Astyanax mexicanus: one gene and its partners. The protein of the gene in region 1 binds, or shares a complex with, the protein of each later gene. Links are inferred from orthologs where the notes say so. Each region holds a gene or a part of one and is shown in the gene's direction. Other genes may lie near its edges.

Evidence for each region.
Region 2: ccdc135 (region 1) and iqcd share a complex: the UniProt entries of both Homo sapiens proteins name them as parts of the nexin-dynein regulatory complex. The link is inferred for Astyanax mexicanus from reciprocal best matches to the Homo sapiens genes DRC7 and DRC10.
Region 3: ccdc135 (region 1) and tcte1 share a complex: the UniProt entries of both Homo sapiens proteins name them as parts of the nexin-dynein regulatory complex. The link is inferred for Astyanax mexicanus from reciprocal best matches to the Homo sapiens genes DRC7 and DRC5.

The regions. Positions count from the first base shown.
Region 1 is NC_064417.1:7,192,799-7,196,554, reverse strand, and holds the start of ccdc135 (dynein regulatory complex subunit 7), read left to right. Parts: upstream 1-936; 5' UTR 937-1,043; intron 1,044-2,868; coding exon 2,869-3,035; intron 3,036-3,756. UniProt on the Homo sapiens protein: Component of the nexin-dynein regulatory complex (N-DRC) a key regulator of ciliary/flagellar motility which maintains the alignment and integrity of the distal axoneme and regulates microtubule sliding in motile axonemes.
Region 2 is NC_064408.1:34,843,658-34,847,413, reverse strand, and holds the start of iqcd (dynein regulatory complex protein 10), read left to right. Parts: upstream 1-915; 5' UTR 916-1,259; intron 1,260-1,420; exon of another isoform or gene 1,421-1,600; intron 1,601-2,090; exon of another isoform or gene 2,091-2,151; intron 2,152-2,923; 5' UTR 2,924-2,937; coding exon 2,938-3,573; intron 3,574-3,756. UniProt on the Homo sapiens protein: Component of the nexin-dynein regulatory complex (N-DRC), a key regulator of ciliary/flagellar motility which maintains the alignment and integrity of the distal axoneme and regulates microtubule sliding in motile axonemes.
Region 3 is NC_064408.1:85,886,518-85,890,273, reverse strand, and holds the start of tcte1 (dynein regulatory complex subunit 5), read left to right. Parts: upstream 1-1,096; 5' UTR 1,097-1,160; intron 1,161-2,609; 5' UTR 2,610-2,667; coding exon 2,668-2,854; intron 2,855-3,018; coding exon 3,019-3,587; intron 3,588-3,719; coding exon 3,720-3,756. UniProt on the Homo sapiens protein: Component of the nexin-dynein regulatory complex (N-DRC) a key regulator of ciliary/flagellar motility which maintains the alignment and integrity of the distal axoneme and regulates microtubule sliding in motile axonemes.

The DNA.
Region 1 (3,756 bases):
TGAAAATATATAGAAACCAATCCACTCTCCGTTTTCTTACAAAAGATTATCCTTGGATTGGAGCTTTGATGTAATATTCAGTTTCTTCATGGGCATTTATTTACAGAACAGCAAGCTTTATTATTCGACTTAATTATTATAAGCCGTGGCCACGCCTTAGGATCTCATTCCCATGCCTTACTAAGTCGTGGCCACACATTGTTTTATTTTAACATGATGTCACCTCCATACGAGAAGAGTGTCTCTTATAATCTATTTTTACACACACAAAATTAAACAGCAATCTTTATTCTGTTATTGTCTGACACGGTTCCCGCTCCTGATACATCCTTTGTATGTGTGTGTGTGTGTGTGTGTGTGGCCAGTCAGTCATGGATTACATTAGCATTGAGAAAATTCTTAAGGAGTAAACTGATACACTACTACATGACTAATAATCATTTGATTGTTTAAAAGGTTTGTCTTCGGTGCTGAAACATGTTATATTTTTCTGTGTTGTGGAAATTAGTATATTTTTCTGTGTTGTGGAAATTAGTATATTTTGGGTATGAAAATAATTAGACAATTATAAACCCTGCTCAGTTGCTTCATTCATTTTGGACTCATTATACGACATATCATTTTTTGATTACTAAAACACGTGTTACATGATAACCATAAATAATACCAGACTCCTAATAAGGAGAGATTTGAAAATATTTTATTAAGCATAAATATTTTTGAGTTAACATTTAGTATTTATTCTCATATATCGTTTTAGATTTTAGTTGTAATTATTTTCACATGTGCCAAAATGTTTGCACAGTAAACGTGAAATATGTGATTTTAAAAAATAATATTGGTTAAATATGTTTTAAAATCTAACGTACGTGAGCTCGTGAGTATCCACGAGCCAATCCAAGCACAGGAGTGAGCGCCGGAGGGGCGGGCTTTGGGAGAATGCGGCTCGCGGATTGGTTTAGGTGGTGAAGGGCCATGGGCGGGGATTTTGTCGCTTATGGAAACCGAGTATAAACAGTTCCAGCGTTACTGAGGAGTAAAAGGTAAGCGGTTCATACTAACGTAAATATCTCATATAGTAAACCAGAATAGTCTGTATTATATACAGCTTTACTATGTAGTGAAGATTGTAAAACAAGGGTTAGTGTGTGCACGTTTTCTAACTGTCTGTAATCTAAATATATTTAGCTGTGATATTCTGTTTTTTTTGGGTCTCACTCACATTTAACAAATAACGTTACAGCTCTGGAAAAAAAATAAGAGACCACTTCAGTTTCTGAATCAGTTTCTCTGATTTTGCATAGGTTTATGTTTGAGTAAAATGAACATTGTTGTTTTATTCTATAAACTACAGACAACATTTCTCCCAAATTCCAAATAAAAATATTGTCATTTAGACCATTTATTTGCTGAACTGTTTGGATACAAAAATCAAGCAGTTCAGCTTGGTTTGATGGTTTGTGATCATCCATCTTCCTCTTGAGTATATTTCTTAGGTTTTCAATGTGGTAAAATCAAAGAAACTGGTGGTCTTTTATTTTTTTCCAGAGCTGTATAAGTACTGATTTTTACCAGGGCACTTGTATTTATTTAAATTATCAAAACAGTAAAATCTATCTTTCCAAGAGCAGAGCTCTGGTTAAAAACAATATAAGATACATATAAGATACATACATACAGGTACATCTGAAAAAATATAATATTATTGAAAAATTACATTATTTCAGTAATTCAGTTAAAAATGTGACATATATCATAAAGATGCATTACACACAGAGTGATCTATTTTAGGAGTTTTTTTCTTTTGTTGTTGATGATTATGGCTTACAGCCAATGAAACCCCCTGGAAAATGAAATCCTGTGATCTTATTAATTTTACAATGTAAAAAAATATATATAAAAAGAAAGAAAAAAGTGTAATGAGAAGAGGTGTGTTCAAACTTTTGACTAGTACTGTATATAGCAGCAACACATTATCAAAAAGAAATTCAAAGTAAAGTCATTGACATCTATCACACTTGCCTCAGATAAGGTCAATGTTAATAATTCAATAAAAAGAAAGAGACTGGGTGAAACGGACGTCCATGAAAGAGTTCTAAGGCAAAAACCACTGCTGACCAACAAGAACACAAAGAACATTGCTTTGCTTCTTCAGGAGCTGGACAATTGCTATAATTGATGGAACCATGAATCCATGAACCATGATGCTCTCTACCAAAAACTCTAAAGGAGAATGCCTGGCCATCAGTTTGTGACCTTAAGCGTAGGCGTACTTGGGTTGTGCAGCAGGACAATTATCCAAGGCATATCAGTCTACATCTGAATGGCTTAAAAAAAAGTGATGTGGCTTGATTTTAAACAGGCTGTTTATGCTCAAATACCTTCCAGTATGGCTGAATTAAAATAATTCTGCAAAGAACAGTGGGTGAAAAAGATTCATTTATCGCAAATGCTTGATTGCAGTTGATGCCAAGGGTGGCACAGCCAAGTTATTAGATTTGGAGGCAAATACTTTTTCACATAGGGCCAAGTTGGTTTGGATAGATTTTTGCTTTTTATATTTATATATGTTATATTTGTTTTATATTAAAATGTGTTTGTTAATCTGAAAGCTAAACTAAATCTGTAGGGGGCAAATACTATTTCACAGCACCGTATATTCTTCAAAAGGTATGTTTTTCACACAGTTTGGTCTTGCTGTATTTGCACAGTTTTGCTCTTATCTAATGTTTTTCATGCTTGCCATCTGCCAGTTATGTTCAAGAGCTAAAGCAGGTGTGTTAGAAAACATGAAAGCCTGAAAACATGAATCGGTGGGATGGCAGGTCCCCTGGACTGCAGCATGTGCCTTGTTTTCACTCCTTGTAGATGGAGATGCTGCCGGAGGTCGAGCCTGAGCTGGAAGAAGCTGAGCTCCAGGAGGAGGAGGCAGAGCAGGAGGAGGAGGAGGGAGGAGAGGATGGAGGTCTGAGCGAGTTACGGGAACTGGAGGAGACGCTGGCCAAAGTGCAGATAGCCCCCTCAGCAGCCCAACTGTGAGGTTACTATAGTTCGTTGGCGCTTGGTAAACTCTGTGCTTGTGTTAAAGTGAGCCGGTATCATGGTTATGCCACCCCGACTGTTTGCATTACACAATCACTGACTGCAAACATGAAGATGTAATGTCTCATACACGCTGTGCTGAGGGGGAAAACACACTCAGGAAGACCACCCAAACAAAAATCAATAGGCTGTGTATTGAGTATGGGGTTACTAAAGGTCAACATGTGTGTTAAGATAGCAAACAGTGGCTTTAGCATGCTCTTAGCATGTTGTGGTCTTGAGAAAACCATAGGAAGTCCAGATTTCAAGCATGATGAAAACATGGCCTCACATCTGGTGGTCAAGTTAACAACACACCTAATGAGTGTTGCTTTTCTTTAGTAGTCTAATAATAAGTAATATATAGCTGAAAGTAAGATTCTGACAGAATTTTATGTGTTTCCTAATGAAAGAGAAGATCACTCAACCTTTTTACACAGTGATGCTTGCTGTATAAAATCTAGGTCACCAATAAAAAACCTTAAAGCAGAGTGATTCACAAAATCTAAAACAATCCAGAATAAACAACAGTGTTGCTTTATTAATCTTCTTATGCTAATTGGGAAACACATGTTGTTTTGATATAGGAAGCTGCATTTTTGCTTAAGTTTGCCTGTAAGCATGTTAACATGCTGCTTAAAAGTGCATTTTGTTCTATAGCCATATGCCGTAGTA
Region 2 (3,756 bases), on another chromosome or scaffold:
ATTTAATCCGCTAACTGTGACCATCTTCACTCTCAAACAACTGACACAGGAAAACACCAGACTTTACAAAAACGTAAATAACAGACAACCATTTTACGACACTTGTAGTCCATTGACGACCAAACTTGAGGCATATTTTTCACAATAAAAGTCCCGTTTAACAATATGTTTTCTCGGAATTTCTTGTTTGTTGTTTTATATAAATGGCATAGGTATTTTCCGGTAATTTAAAATGTAAAGTAGAACAAACAAAATGAATAAATAAAAAAACTAACAAAAATAAAAAAGAATTATATTCTTAAAGTAGTAGCATAGTATTACTAGTAAGTAAAACCAATTTTTTTTCTTACCGTGTCGTGTTTTACACATGCAACCCTGATGGCAAAGAACATAAAAAAAAACGTTTTTTCTTTTTTCTTTTACCGTCGATTATGAAAAAACAACCATAAAACAACATTTATGTAATACTGCCTAATAAGAATCGGTTAACAATAAAATCCCATTAAAAACAGTAAAAACGTTGAATTAACGTTAATTTGAAGGTTTTGAACCTTCAAATTAAGAAGGTTGTGTGTGTGTGTTTCCTGACACCTAGCTGTATCATACACACTTATTTTTAGTGTTCTGTGTAATTCGGTTTAAATTCTATTGATTTTTTAAATATATAAAATGTAATATTCACTAGAATTGGCACTGTATCCAAAATATAAATGGTGTGCGTGTCTGCTGCCACCTAGCTGTGACACAGTTGCTGAAATGCTATTGAATTTGTGAATATATAAAATATAATAAAAAATTTGAGCATTTCGCATAATATTAATGGGTGTGCAAGTTTCCTCATGACTCAAAGTATACATCCCCGTTATTCTGATGTTTATGAACCCTAAGGATATGGAGCTAACGTTATTGGTGTTTTTTTTTTTCTTAAAGCCATCTATTCTTATGTGGGAACATTAATAGGCATTTTTATGCACTGAAGTGATTTGGAGGTAAATAAATGAGTGTGTACAGATGTAGAGGTGGTCTAGAAGTACATGCATTTTATTCTGACAGGAAAAGTGCGCTTAGTTTTTCGGTATTAACGCTAAAAGGGCGTTGCGCAAATTTCACCCAAACAGTAAAAGGAAGGGTGTGCGTCACTCTCTGTGGTCGTACTGTCCTGATTATGTAACGTTAAGTATCTGCTGGCTACCATCCTCCGTTCAGAAGTTATTAGAGCCGAAAAGTCGAATATCAAAAATGAAACTAACTTTACCGTGGTAAAAATAACTCCTTTTTTCTTTAAGTAAGAATGCAAAGTTCGTGTATGACTGAATCCAGTGTTTATTGATATAATTGTGTATTATTATATAGAGCAGTGTGTATATCTGTAGAGCTGTATGAACTCAGAAGAGCCTATGTGTTTAAAACTGTCATGGCAACCAGCCATAGCGACCAGTGTATACACACAGCACTGCAGCGGAGCCAGTCTACAAGCAGTTTACCTGAGTTTTACTGACTTCAACTGCCGCAGATCTATAATTACAGCGTTACGTTGATGGGAAAAACCAAGCCACCGCGTAGTTAGTGTTTTAGAGAGTTTTGGAACCGCTCGGCAACAGTGAGTACAGACTGAAGCGTTTTCCCACCTTTGACCTGACCTCTCTCATCTGGTTTCAGCCCACAGCCTAACTGTGTACAGGCTGCTCAGCTAACTAGGTTGAATGGCTGTACAGGCATGATTATTGACCCTCCTATAACTGTGGTGTCATCTGACCCCATTCAGTGTTTAAAGTCTCTGAAAAAGTGTCTGACCTTGTGATTCATATTTATTGTCTTTTCCTAAACTGATGAAGACAAATAATAATAATAATAATAATAATAATAATAATAATATAATATTGTATTTTCAATGTTCTGTTCATATTTTCTAGGTGCTGCAACTAATAATTATTTTGGTAGTTGACTGATGATAATTTTTACGATTAGTCAGCGATTATTTCTGCCATGTTCTCCATCTCTAAAAACAATAGAAAAAGCTGAACATAAGATTTAAATGCCATATAACTGTTTATATGTTGTTTAAACGTGGAAAGTTCTGATATTTCGTGATTAAATATGTAATCTGTTGTGTTTAGGCACTTTTGGAGACACACGTTGAGTGTAAACAGTGTGAGTGAGCCATTTACCCTACTCGCTTTTGTCCCCGGCAGTTTGTGTAATGCGGGAAAAGTCGACAATCAAATTTGTAGTGGACAAAATTAAATCATCGACATTGTTGATTATACTGACTAAAGGTTACAGCCCTATACACCCCAGTGTTATTTAACAGGTTAGCTAAACCCCAGGCTGTTTAATCTGTATAAACATAAGAAAAAAGACATTCAGTTTTATAATCTTTCTCTAAACTTCCCTTCACTTTAGGCTTAAACTTAATAACGCAATATTTGTAATAATGACAGAACCACTGATAATTCATCAAATAAACATGGTTTGGGGCTGCTTTGCTGCAGCAGGGCATCTCAGGCTCTTAATCATAGGATCTACTATGAATTATTGTGATTGACACTTCTGATTGAGTCCAATTGGGTGATTGGGTGCAATTTGAGAACATCTGTGTAAAAACTACATAACTGTAAGGCTGTCCAAAGTATCTCCATTTTTGTCTATTTTTAGTTTATTGCATTTGTAAATTGTAATTTAATTGTAAATTGCTTTTTTGGAGATATATGTTTTTCACTGAACAGCAACAATATGTAATTTAACACAACTTTATTACCTCCATCTCTCTGTATGGCAAAATGAAGATCAGATGTCCATATGTTGAAATATGATGTAAAAGACAGATGTTTAGATGGGGTCCCCTTCTTTTTTCACCTGATTTTATCTCTCTAACAGTTAAAGCATTTTCTTTAATGTTGTTGACATGTCATCCTTTTCTTAGAACTGCTCGTGTCCATGGCATCAGAGACAGATGAAGCACTCTGTGTTAATGAACGCCAAACCGAGACCCCCTCTTCCGTCACCCCCCATAAAAAAACACAAAAACTTTTAAACTTATCTAGGAAGAAACTGGTGTCTTTGGAAAAACAGCGCATTTTGGGAGTTGTGGATGAGTGCATCAGTTTGATGGAGCTGGTGGCCCTGCTGCCCTCTGAATTAACCCACCCTGAGAGCCTCTCTGTAAGCCTCAGAGCAGAAATGACCAGGGCCCTCACTGAGGACCTGCATCTGTCAAAAGCATACCAGGACCTGAGCCTGGACCCTGGAGCCAAAGGACAGGAAGCAGCTGCTAAAGCAGTGCAAGATTCATTACTGAACATTTCACGGCTGCTGAGGGCCTGTCCTACTGCAAAGGTGGGGCTAAAAGGGGCAGGATCTATTGAAGAAGATAGAAAAGGTGTAGAGGAGATGTTAGAATGGTTACAGGACAATAGAGTTGTCCTACTAAAGCGGCTATTTATGACACCTATGGAGGAGAGGGTACGCATTCAGCGCATGCAGGAAGACACTCTGCGTCACAACAGCAACCAAAAGGTGCTTGCCACTCTGGAGAAGGAAGCTGCTGCAGCGGTAAAGGACAGGGATAAAGAGGTGAGGGACAGTCAAGCACTTTGTTTAAAACTTTGCACTATTCACTAGAGATGTACCAAGTTTAATTTTGTTTTTTCAGGTTTTTCATCCATTTTGCTACTTTTTCCACAATTGAAGTTACAAAGCGAAATAAATATGAATTTAACACTTAACCTTTAACCCAGAAGACATACCAGCAAAGTT
Region 3 (3,756 bases), on another chromosome or scaffold:
ATCCTGCTCTTAACAAAACTGTGTTGATTAATAACAGTTTAGCATGTTATGTATGGTCAGTGTGTTCTGTTTTAGGGTTAATGGAACTTAAACAATGAGAATATGATATATTGATAAAATAAATAATGGAATAACTGGAATAAAAACTTGCTCTTCATGTATATGGTTTGAGATGAGGGATGTACTGGCCATAGGGAGTACCGGGACAATTCCTGGTGGGACGCTCTGTGTGTGGGCTGCTAAAAGAGCTATTAATAGAATCCTATTCAAATATTTTAATGTTTAATGTATGTGCATTGGTCCACAGTACCAGCAGTGCATGGCCATTAATTAGCCAATCCCAGTCAGCAGGTTCATTTGTTCAAAACAAATATGACAGTTCAGACAGTTTAATTCTAAAAGTTTACTGAGACAGGATGGGGAAACCCCAATTGAACTATTTTAAAAAGTCCATTAATAAATAAAGTAGAATTTGTATAGAAAATGGAAAATGCAGAAAAGATACTTTGCAGGTTTATGTAAATATCTGCATATAGGTGGGCTGATGGGGTAGTTTGAGATTGTAGTGTTCTGGTTTGGAAAAAAGTTTAGTTCACAGTCCATATATATGTAAGAAACCACTTAAAAACTAGTGCTTGAATTTTTGCACCAGGAATGACAAAGTTATTCAAAAGTAATGTCAAGATGCATGAAAACTCTGATTAAAAACCAGGGTTATTCTACCAAATATTGATTTCTGATTTCAGCCATTTCTCATGTTCTGCAAATAAATGCTCTAAATTACAATGTTTTTATTTGATATTTAGGAAAAATGTTTTACGTAGTTTATAGAATAAAACAACAATGTTCAATTTTACTCAAACATATACCTATAAATAGCAAAATCAGAGAAACTGATACAGAAAATGAATTGATCTCTTATTTTTTTCCAGAGCTGTAAAATGTACTTTTTTTCTTTACTACGTAACTCCATATGTTTGTCTTAATTGTTTTCATGTCTTTAACATTAATCTACAATGTAGAAAATAAATTAAAGAAAGAAAGTACACATGTCCTTTTAAGTCCCCCCTACTCTGTGACTACTAGCCAATCACAGCGCTTCCTTGTCGCCATAACGACTGGAGACTCTTGTGTTGGCGGTGAACTCTGGAGAACGGAAGGTAAATAAGTAGATTTTCTTCAGCGTGTCTGTTTTAGGAATATCCACAGCAATACCCACATTAAACACATTATTCTCCACAGTATTGTACTCTGTTTACTCATTACGTTCACTTCAATTTACTGTCATTTTGCCTTCTAGTCTGCTGTGTAGCAATAACGTTAACCTAGGTTATCTTACCCAGCTAACCTAACTAGGTAACTAGATTCAGTAGGGCTGAATCATTTCTGTGCCTTTTATACCACCGATGTAGTTAATGATTATATAATAGCATAATAACAGACTTTAAAAAGAGCAGGGAACTTTAAATAATTTAAGTTAGCTATAAAACCTTTGTTTAAACAAATACCAGCTCACACACTTTAATAGGCTCTTCTTGCTAAGATCAACGTTATGGGCAGTATTAAGGACTGCTAAAATTATTGGGATCACATCCATTAAGTCGATAATGTGACTATTGTGTATTGTGGTCTATATATATAGCAGTTATATTTTTGGTCTATGGCTGACAATTGACTGAAATTTACTTACAATTTACTACAGGACTTTTTAAAATGTTCTTTTAAAGTGTTTCCCTGTAAGATCATTCATGACAAACTGTGAAATGCACAGTTGATAGAAAACTAACATATGTCTGAGATAAAGAAGAGATTTATATAGCTAAGAAAAAAAAAGATCTTACACATTTTGTATATGTATGTCGTTTTGATAAGACTGGGGTGTGATGAGTCAGAAAGTCCTTCAGACTGTATTTAGATCAAAGTGAAAAAATTCAAGGGCTGTTTCTCAGGAGTTTTCTCAGTTTCCCAGATTGGTGGAAATTGGGTTTAAAATAAGACTTGTCCAACCATGTGTGAGAGAATAATTAAATGGTTGAGATGTTAACAGTCATTCTGAGAGGGATTTGGCATGAAATGATTCATTGTAGGAACTCAACAACTCTGATTACATTACACGTGTCATGATAAGAATCAGGCATCCCCCATGACTATATAAAAAATAAAAACAAATTACTGTAATGGTAAAGATTATGGTAAACCGTATTTAATCTTAAAATGTCTGTTATTGAGGCCAGTTGTGCTTTATAACAATTTTCATGTACCCCTCCACCATGAATGGATTTTCTCCAAAATCTTCTTAAAGCATTTGTCGTTACCACTTTCTCTGAGGAAGTTTTAGATGCATTAAACTCTTTTATTTACCACTGCTGTGAACAATTCTGACTGTGAAAGTTTTTCTAAAACCAAACATTTTCAACCAATTCAAGTCTGAATCCAATCCGACTGTTCACATCTTAATCCCATTCTATTATTTTAAATTTTGTTATGCAGATTTTTAAATAAGGAATTCTCTGGGTTAAACAGCAGTATACATCTGTGCTCCAGTGGCCTGTTGGAAAGTAAAGGGATCTCCAGAGTAAATTTGTCTCATTATTTTCTACTTTTTCAAGAAGAGAGGACTCATCTAAAGACTTGACTTCAGCCCTTGTGTATTGTGACAACAAAGAAATGCCAGTCATAAGTATGTCCATGGGCAAAGCTCCAGCTGGCATTAACCCACCAGTAAAGATGCTCAATCCTGCTGCAGATCCTCGAAAGATGCGAAGAATTATTGCTGAAGACCCAGAATGGTCTCTTGCTGTTGTGCCTTCCTTAAAAAACTTATGTCTACAGCACATAGTGAATCATTTTGAAGGTAATCTTCTTTTTCTACTACTATTAAGACATTATTCACACACTTTTTAATGATAGATTTTAAGTAATAATATAATTAATCAGGTACTTTGACTAGTATATAGTATATACTATGTTTCACAGTGTTTTACAGCATTTGTTGATTTGTGCTCTAAAATGTTTCAGAGAAGCCTATTCTGAATGAGCTCCTGCCTAGTCAGAAGGCTTTTGTCCTGGAGAAGCTTCCTACCTTCCTGCCTTTGAGCCTAACAGCCAATCTGATCAGTGATGAGGGTTACTGGAGACGCTGCTGTGAGGACCGCTGGGGCCAGAGGGATGTTTCTGAGTATGACCTCAGCTGGAAACGCATGTTCTTTGAGCGTCATCTGGAGAACATTATTGAACTTTTCATTCCCGACCAAACTGAGCCCAAATCAGTGCTGGATGTTGTGCCACTCTGTCAGAATTATGTTAGGAGGCTAAAGATAACTCAGCTTCTGCCACCTATCAGAAAACCACCAAAGTTCAATGAAGATGATGCCTCAGAATCTGCCAGCGATTTGGGCGATGATGGGCCATCAATAGACCACTTTGACTTTAGAATCCTGCTGAACAAGCTTACCAACCTGGAGGAACTGCAGTTGGTTTATGGAGTGAGAGGGTGTGGCATGAACTTTGAATGGAATCTATTCGAGTTCACCTTCAGTGATTGTCAGTTCCTGGCCAAGGCCCTGCAATCGTGCACAACTTTGAAGGTTCAAAAAAAATTTCTGATCTTGTTTACCATAGTATAGCATCTCAGTCAGATGTTTTTTACTTCATTTTGGGCCATTGTATTAAATCATACCTTTTAATTTAACCTTTTTTTGTTTCATTTGCTTGAACAGATTCTTAAAATCAATCAGAGTAACGTGGATGATGATA